2 linked regions of the Callithrix jacchus genome follow. The main gene of each other region encodes a partner of the protein of the gene in region 2 in a complex. Links are inferred from orthologs where the notes say so. Each region holds a gene or a part of one and is shown on either strand. Other genes may lie near its edges.

Region 1 (4,105 bases), on a different chromosome or scaffold from region 2:
TGTTGCTTAACAACAAGGATACATTCTGAGAAAGATGCATCACATCTTTAGGCGATCCCACCACTGTGTGAACACCATAGAATATACCTACACAAACCTAAACAGTATAGCCTATTACACACCTACACTACTGGGTGTACCTATTGCTCTCAGGCTACAAACTTGAACAGCATGTTACAATACTGAATACTGTAGGCAACTGTAACATGATGGTAAGTGTATTTATCTAAACATAGAAAAGATAACGTATTTAATTAGGATGTTGTGACTCACTGGGCAACAGGAATTTTTCAGCTTCATTATAACCTGATGGGGCCACCCTCATGTGCACAGTCCATAGCTGACCAAAAAGTTACTATGCAACACTTGACTATATACGTGTAGTGAAGAGTAAGCTGATCTAAGAATTAAGTAGCAGAAATAGCTCTGAGGCAAGGTAGCTCAAATGAGATATTTCAAATATTTGCTATTTTAATGACAAAACTGGCCAGGCACGGTAGCTCACGCCTGTAATCCCAGCACTTTGCGGCGGGGGGGGGGGGGAATGGGGAGGGGATCACAAGGTCAGGAGTTCAAGACCAGCCTGGCCAAGATGGTGAAACCCTGTCTCTACTAAAAATACAAAAATTAGCAGGGCATGGTGGCAGGTGCCTGTAATCCCAGCTACTTAGGAGGCTGAGGCAGAGAATTGCTTGAACCTGGAGGACGGAGGTTGTAGTGAGCCAAGATTGTGCCACTGCACTCCAGCCTGAGTGACAGAGCAAGACTCTGTCTCAAAAAAAAAAAAAAGACAAAATTTAGTTAGTACACAAGTTAATCCATGATTCCTAAAAAGAAATAAATACAGACAAGTACAAGTCTTACTGCAGCAAAATAATCACTTCACACAGATTGTTGAAGAAAAAGGAACAGGCAGTGACACTTCAAATGTTGACAATTGTTTCTGATCTCTAACACGATAAGAGGGGCAAGCTTGATAGCTAGGGATGGCGACCAAGGTAGGAATCAAATTTTTGAATTCATTTAACTTCACTGGGATCTTAATATTCCCTCCTATTTCTTTATGGTTAGCAATTTTCAGGTAGAAGTTTTAATTCCCCAAGGGAGAAAAACCGAACCTCATTAAGTTTAGCAACTTACTTTTTTCTATCCTAATAGCAAGTATGGAGAAAGAATTATCCCTACAAAAACAAGAACCAGGCATCCGTTTTATAAGGTTTTCAATTTCACATCAACATGCAAAAGACAGGTAGAAATGACTGCCCACTGAGAGAGAACTCACCTTCCAAAAAAGCAAATTCATCCACAGCTTCTATTGCATTATCTGAAACATAACGTAAAGGAACACCTGACTAATTCCAGCCATGCTGACGTCAGTCCCAAAACAGCACAATCTGCAGTGAAGGGCATAAGTCTTTGGGCAAATGAGCACATTTATAAGATACGTCCCTTGATGCCTTGATATCCATATCTACACTACCAGCAACTCTTATATATATTAGCTGTCTCTCTAGAAGATTAAGAAAAGCATAGGCAAATCCATTCAATGCAGGGGGCTGGGAGGTTCCTAAATTAACCCTATATTATTTATTCACTTTGCTCTGAAAGTCATCAGAGAAGAATGTGGCAATACACGCAGGGAGCCTGAGAATACGGTCTATAAAATCTTACACAGGTCAGAGTTACCAGCCAGACAAGAGTCAGAAATCAAATCCCCAGTTGCAAGTGAAAAATAAATATCTTTTTCAGGTACAATTTGGCGGAAAGTATGAAGGGATCCAGTCAGCTTTGGCAACCCCAGACGCCTTCACACTCTGTCCCACCACCCCAAGCAGACAGACTCTATAGGCAGGGTTTCCTGGCATTGTGGCCAACAGAAACCATCATGGGGAGAGACGCTGAGACGCCTCTCAGATCAGAGTGATGTCTTCTCAATCTGTGCAAGGGGAAACCAGCCCAGCTCTCCCTTGTCTGTCCCCAGACACACAGTGTCACTCTACCCAAGTCTCTCCTCTGAAGGGTTTTCCTTTTTCCCTGCTGAGCGCAGCAGTAGGCATCTTTTGCAATGGTCTCCACAAATAGCTCCTGTATAGCAAAAAAGCAGAGTTTTAGTAATGGGTTCTAGCACACTGAGGAGGTGAGGGCTCCAGTTTGTGAGTTGGGGCAGAAAGGGAGAAGAATGGCTCAGGGGCAAGAAAATGTTCTGGAAGTTAAGATTGTCCAGGACTTAAAGGTGGATTCCACTACCCTCTTCCCAGTATTCTCCCTCATTCACTATAGACTCCTACAAGTTCTGTATGAGACCCTGGAGATACAAATTAAAGTCACTCACTATCCGGGTCCTCAACATGAGGGAGGAGTGTTAACAAAACATACAACTCGCTTAGGTTCCCGACTTCTTCCCTCCGCCTTCCGGGTCCACGCCCACATCTCAAAACCTTGCCCACGCCGCCCTAAGCCCCGCCCCCGGAATACCCTGAGGCCCCGCCCGCGCTCCCCTCCCCCACCCCGCGTGCCCTCCCGCTGCAGCCGCACCGCTGCTCGTGCCAGGATGAAGATGGCTTCCTGTCCCGCTAGCGTCACGTCAGGGTCCGCCTTCACCAAGGCCTTTACTCGCGCCAGAGGCAGCCTCGAGAGACGTGCCCCAGGCGCCGTCGTTGGGGCTGGGGGCTGCGAGGCCGCTGCCTCCCCAGCGGGTCCGTCCTCCTCTCGGGGAGTCCCGCTTCCTGAAGCCGCCGCCGCCGCCGCCGCCGCCGCCGCCATCCCGGCCCTGAGCGTACTGCGCGCGGCCGCCGACTGCGCGCGCGCATGCGGCGCAGGCCCTTTCCCGCGCGGGCTGGAGGCCACACCCTGTGTTGGCGCGCGGCTCCTCCCCTATGCGCAGGGCCCTCCCGGGAATCCCGGTGGGCGGGGACCGGGCTCTAGCTCTTCCCGCGCGCCTGGCCACCCCTGGGCTGCTGTGGACTTTGTTGACGCTACCGGCCACCCTCTCGTCCCATTGGGCCTGAGGAGCCCAGGCACTGGCCTTGGTGCCTGTGCGGGGCTGGTAAGGGGAGAAGTCTAGACCGGGCTCTCCAGAGAGCCTCCGTCAACTCAAGAGTGTTCATCCTCGTGGGCACGTGTCCGAGGGGGGCCCGGACATTCCCTGGAGGGCCCAGCATTGGGGAAGAGGGTACCAAGAAGGCAGCAAAATCTGGACCAAATTAAAGGATAACCAGTTATAGATGCTCTTGAAGGAGGTGTAACACGTTTGTCAGGCAGAAATGAAGAAATTCAGCCCAGGCAGAGGAAACAAGAAAAAGATGTGGAGGCTGGAAGAGATGTAGTTGTGATGAGGCATCCACGTTTGTTCAAAAAGTGGTTGCATCACAGCTTTGGGTCTCAAATTTGACCTCAAGATCCCTTTACGGTCTTAAAGATTAAAGAGCCTAAGGAGCTTTTTTCTGTGGGTTATATCAATACTTACTATATTGGAATTAAAACAAAGTTTTAAAATACTGATTTAAAAATCACTAATTTATTACAAGCTAACATAGCACTTTTATGACAAGTGACTAAAAAATAAATCTGGTAAGAAAAGTCTAATGTCAGATTTCATGTGAGAACTGGACTCTCTAGCTACTTCTGTGGTTAACGTTAGCTCTTCTCAGGTAACTCTGAAAAACTGTACTGCATCTCCTTAAGAGAATGAGAATGAAAAAAGACAACCTCTTGGTAGTATTAAGAAAATAATTTTGACTTCATGGATTCCTAAAAAGGGTCTGTAGAAATTTCCCACCCTCATGAATCCCCACACTGCACTTTGAGGTCTGATAGCATAGAGGAACAGTTAATATTTACAATAGGTTTAATCTAAGTCAATCAATCATAATAATAGTGAACACTTTTGAGCATTTACTATGTGCATGATTCAAAGTGTTTTATGTTTATGTAAATCACACTTCTGTAATTTTCATAATACCCTATTGAGGTATATATCGTAACCTTACTTTACAAAATAACCTTAACCTTGTTTTTCAAACATTTGAAACAAGGCACAGAGTGGTTACTGAGTCACACACTCGACAATGTGAAGCCAAGATGAAGCTGAATTAAATGACATCTG
Region 2 (3,957 bases):
AACCCTCTGTCTATGAAAAATACAAAAAAATCAGCTGTGTGTGATGGAACGCACTTGTAGCCCCAGCTACCTGGGGGCTGAGGTGGGAGGACCACCTGCGCCCGGAAGGTCTAGGCTGCAGTGAGCCCAGACCGTGCCGCTCCAGCCAGGGTCAGAGTGAGATCCTGTCAAAAAAAACAAAAAAAAAATCAGTGGAATTGAGAATTTCTACGTACTTAATATGAATATGACTTAAAAACAAAACGCCATTGCAAACCATGAGAATGGTTTTAACTGGAAAAAATGTATGATGAACAATTTAACTGAAAAATAAATACAATTTTAACATTGTTTTTGAAAGCGAAAGTGATGTTGCATTCTTCTTACAACGAAAAAGCTGCTTCTCGCCCTTTTGTTACCTACCCAGCCCGAATTAAACCCCGGGCCTAATCAGGCGCATCTTTATATAGCAAGCATTATCCCTGGGCTGCCTCAATAGTTCGCGTTAAAAACAACAACCAAAAACACCTAAATAACACTCATTCTTAGTACCATTGTTACGCAGGTGTGAAGGGCGAAAAGATTAGAAACCAACATCAACTTCGGTAGAGGTGGAAAAAGACTACCCGTTTCATTCCAGAAAAGAAAAAAATATTCGGAGAATCTGACCACGCGGGGCTGAGGTCCTGCAAGAGCAAAGCAGATTCGAAACCGCTTAGGATTGCGAAACCAAGGGGGAAAACGCGGCCCCTTGCGGCGTGGAGAGTAGGTTAACCTAGCGGGCCGCCCAGAGCCCGCCTCCGGGTCTAAGGGTACCCGCCCAGCCGAGTCAGCCACGCCTTTGTCTCCGGCGCGCTACGCCCCGCCCGCGCCGTCGCCAAGCCGCGGCGCAGAGCACCATGGGAAACGGACGGAAGCTCCATTGGGCCATATTAAGTTGGTGCGAAGGTTCTCGACGTGGCGAAGGCGAGGAGCAGAGAAACTGACCTGGGGATGGACGTTCGGGGTGCGCTGGTGTTAGATGAAGCCTCGACGGGCCAAAACCACTGAGGCTTCAAAGTCTGGATGCGCCGGCATTTGAGGCGGAGGCGGGGCTGGGAAAGGAGGGAGGCTATGGCGCGCTGGGCACTCTGGGACACTGTGGGACACGTGGGGCGGGACGGAAGCTCGGGTGGATCAGACCGTAGCGACGCGGGAAGTCCGGACGCAGTAGCTGCCTAAAGCAGAGGCGAGGGGAGGCTCAGCCCCGGCAGCGGCAATGGCGGAAAGGCCAGAAGACCTAAACCTGCCCAACGCTGTCATCACCAGGATCATCAAGGAGGCGGTGAGCAGTTCGGAGGGGGGGCGGGGCGGACGAGCGGGCAGGAGGGAAGCAGGTCCTGGACCGGCAGCTTTGCTTACCCCCGGTCTCCTCGCAGCTCCCGGACGGTGTTAACATCTCTAAGGAGGCCCGGAGCGCCATCTCTCGCGCCGCCAGCGTCTTCGTGCTGTACGCCACATCCTGGTGAGCCGGGCAGAGGCATAAGGGAGGTGCGGGGATACCTGGCTGGGAGTTCCTGACCGGGAGCCCACAAACCCCAACGATTGTGTCCTCCTTAGGTGGGGAGAGGTTAACAGTCCTCTGCCTATTACAAGTTCTGAAGCAAAAAAACAACAAAATGACTTTGCTTTAGCTTTTTTATACGGAGAAGGGAAGAACTTAATCCTCTCACACCAAAATCCATGCATGTGAGAAGGCTTTCCCGTCCCACCTCTGGGTGCTCCTTTTCCCACCCACCCCTTACGCTCAAGAGGGAGTCTGACAGCCTTTCTCTTCTCCCAGTGCGAACAACTTTGCAATGAAAGGAAAGCGCAAGACGCTGAATGCCACCGATGTGCTGTCAGCCATGGAAGAGATGGAGTTCCAGCGGTTCGTTACCCCATTAAAAGAAGCCCTAGAAGGTAACAAGCCTCCTGTGTTCTGAACCACACAGAAGATGGTCATTCTGTGTGACCTGTTCATCCGGCCCTGAGCCTTTCTGAGCGTGGGTCCCTTTAAGTCCAGTAAGCCAGTACTTGACGTGACTCAACCCAGTTAAGTGGGCACCATAGAGTCTTGCCCTATTGCCCAAGCTGGAGTGCAGTGGCTCACTCCAGTCTCCTCCTCCTGAGTTCAAGCAATTCTCTTACCTCAGCTTCCCGAGTAGCTGGGACTATAGGTGCACACCACCATGCCCGGCTAATTTTTGTAATTTTGTAGAGACAGGGTTTCACCATGTTGGCCAAGCTGGTCTTGAACTCCTGACATCAGGTGATCTACCCACCTTAGCCTCCCAAAGTGCTGGGATTACAGGCATGAGCCACTGGGCCCATCTGCCTCTGTTTTTCCAATTGTACGATGCAGTTAGTTGCTGCAGTCTGTCGGACTCACTCAGCTCTCTGTCTCCTAACCCCTTTCCTCCTTACAGCATATAGGCGGGAGCAGAAAGGCAAGAAGGAGGCCTCAGAGCAAAAGAAGAAAGACAAAGACAAAAAAACAGACTCTGAAGATCAAGACAAGAGCCGGGATGAGGACAATGATGAAGACGAAGAAAGGCTGGAAGAAGAAGAACAGAATGAAGAGGAGGAAGTAGACAACTGAATAGGGTGGGAGACTGTGGCACCTTGGAAGGTACCACTTGAGATGCGATGTGCTACATGTTTCTATGAGGCTTTTCCATGTGGGGCAGAGCAGTCTCAGGCAGAAGTGCCTGAAAAGATCAGAATAAAAACTGGCTAGAAATACCATCAAAACCAGCACTTCCCAAACTCAGAGCATCTGAGTAGCAGAACCCTGTTTTGCTTTATCAATCTGAAGGTTATGACTTTTTGACAAGAGGGATTCTGAACAGCTAAATGACAGTTTGATCACTTTTGGTTACTTATATGTATGGTTAGGTGGTTTTTGATCCACAGTCTTCCTCGTTGCCCCACGTAAGTAATAACTTCCATGCTGCCTGCTGCGTTTCAGATCACAGAGGCAGCCAAGGCTCAGGAAAAATTGGGGCTTTGCTTAGGGTCAGCCTCTGTTTGATTGCACAGTCTTTGACAATAGTAGCTTACTAAGACTGGTCAGAATTTGTAAGCTTTAGGAAACCACTAGAATGCTGTGGAAGAATAACAAAATCTGTTCTGTCTCTTCACTTAACTGAAGCATTAACTGAAGTTTGTTTTTCATAGACCCACTTGGTTCGGAACCTTTCTGTATTGCCTGTATATGTTTGACCTGCTGGGTGGTGGTAATCTGGTCACAAATGTTTGTAAATTTGCAGTATAGAATGGGATTAGTCAAGCCCAGGTGCCAGTGTCTTACTTTTACAAAAACAGATGGCGTAGTGTTAGATGTACCTTCTATCGGCTACTGTACAGCTTTAGGATTTGTCATCACCTCCTGGAAGGTATAAAACCCCAGGCTTCCTCTTCTTGTAGTTCATCTCCCAGACTTGTGACTGTGGCTTTTCATTCTTCAATTCATGATGAGTTCTAAACTATTTCCTCTTGTCACAGCTTTCTTCCTCTGTGCCTCTTGTTTCCTTTCTGTCTTCTGCCTCTCCTCTGCTCCCCTCTCCCTCCTTTTCTCACTTCTGTCAGTCTAGGAGCTTTGATTACCTGCTTCATATTCCAAAGTGTGAGTTCCTCTGATCTCTTGATTACTTAGTTCTAATCTCATGGTTTTTTTTGTTTTGTTTAAGAGATGGGGTCTCACTCTGTGGCCCAGGCTGGAGTGCAGTGGCATGATCTTAGCTCACTGCATCCTTGAACTCCTGGGCTCAAGTGATCCTCCCCGCTGAGCCTCCTGAGTATCTGGGACTACAGATGTGTGCCACCAAGCCCGGCTAATTTTGTCTCATGTCTTCTAAAAATTACTTTGTGATTGTGAAGCCCCTCTGAACCTTAAGGGAAATCTGATGGTGCTCAGGAATCTAACTCCTCCTAAACCGTCCTCTTTAACTGCTTCCA

What was found. The genes of interacting proteins can lie anywhere in the genome.
Region 1: POLE3 (region 2) and POLE4 share a complex: the UniProt entries of both Homo sapiens proteins name them as parts of the DNA polymerase epsilon complex. The link is inferred for Callithrix jacchus from reciprocal best matches to the Homo sapiens genes POLE3 and POLE4.

Annotation. Positions count from the first base shown.
Region 1 is NC_133515.1:38,228,758-38,232,862, forward strand, and holds the start of POLE4 (DNA polymerase epsilon subunit 4), read right to left. Parts: upstream 2,801-4,105; 5' UTR 2,764-2,800; coding exon 2,536-2,763; exon of another isoform or gene 2,333-2,535; intron 2,086-2,332; coding exon 2,001-2,085; coding exon of another isoform or gene 1,988-2,000; intron 1,395-1,987; coding exon of another isoform or gene 1,325-1,394; coding exon 1,283-1,324; intron 1-1,282. UniProt on the Homo sapiens protein: Accessory component of the DNA polymerase epsilon complex. Participates in DNA repair and in chromosomal DNA replication.
Region 2 is NC_133502.1:161,723,111-161,727,067, reverse strand, and holds the start of POLE3 (DNA polymerase epsilon subunit 3), read left to right. Parts: upstream 1-1,157; 5' UTR 1,158-1,237; coding exon 1,238-1,303; intron 1,304-1,397; coding exon 1,398-1,483; intron 1,484-1,801; coding exon 1,802-1,920; intron 1,921-2,426; coding exon 2,427-2,599; 3' UTR 2,600-3,957. UniProt on the Homo sapiens protein: Accessory component of the DNA polymerase epsilon complex. Participates in DNA repair and in chromosomal DNA replication.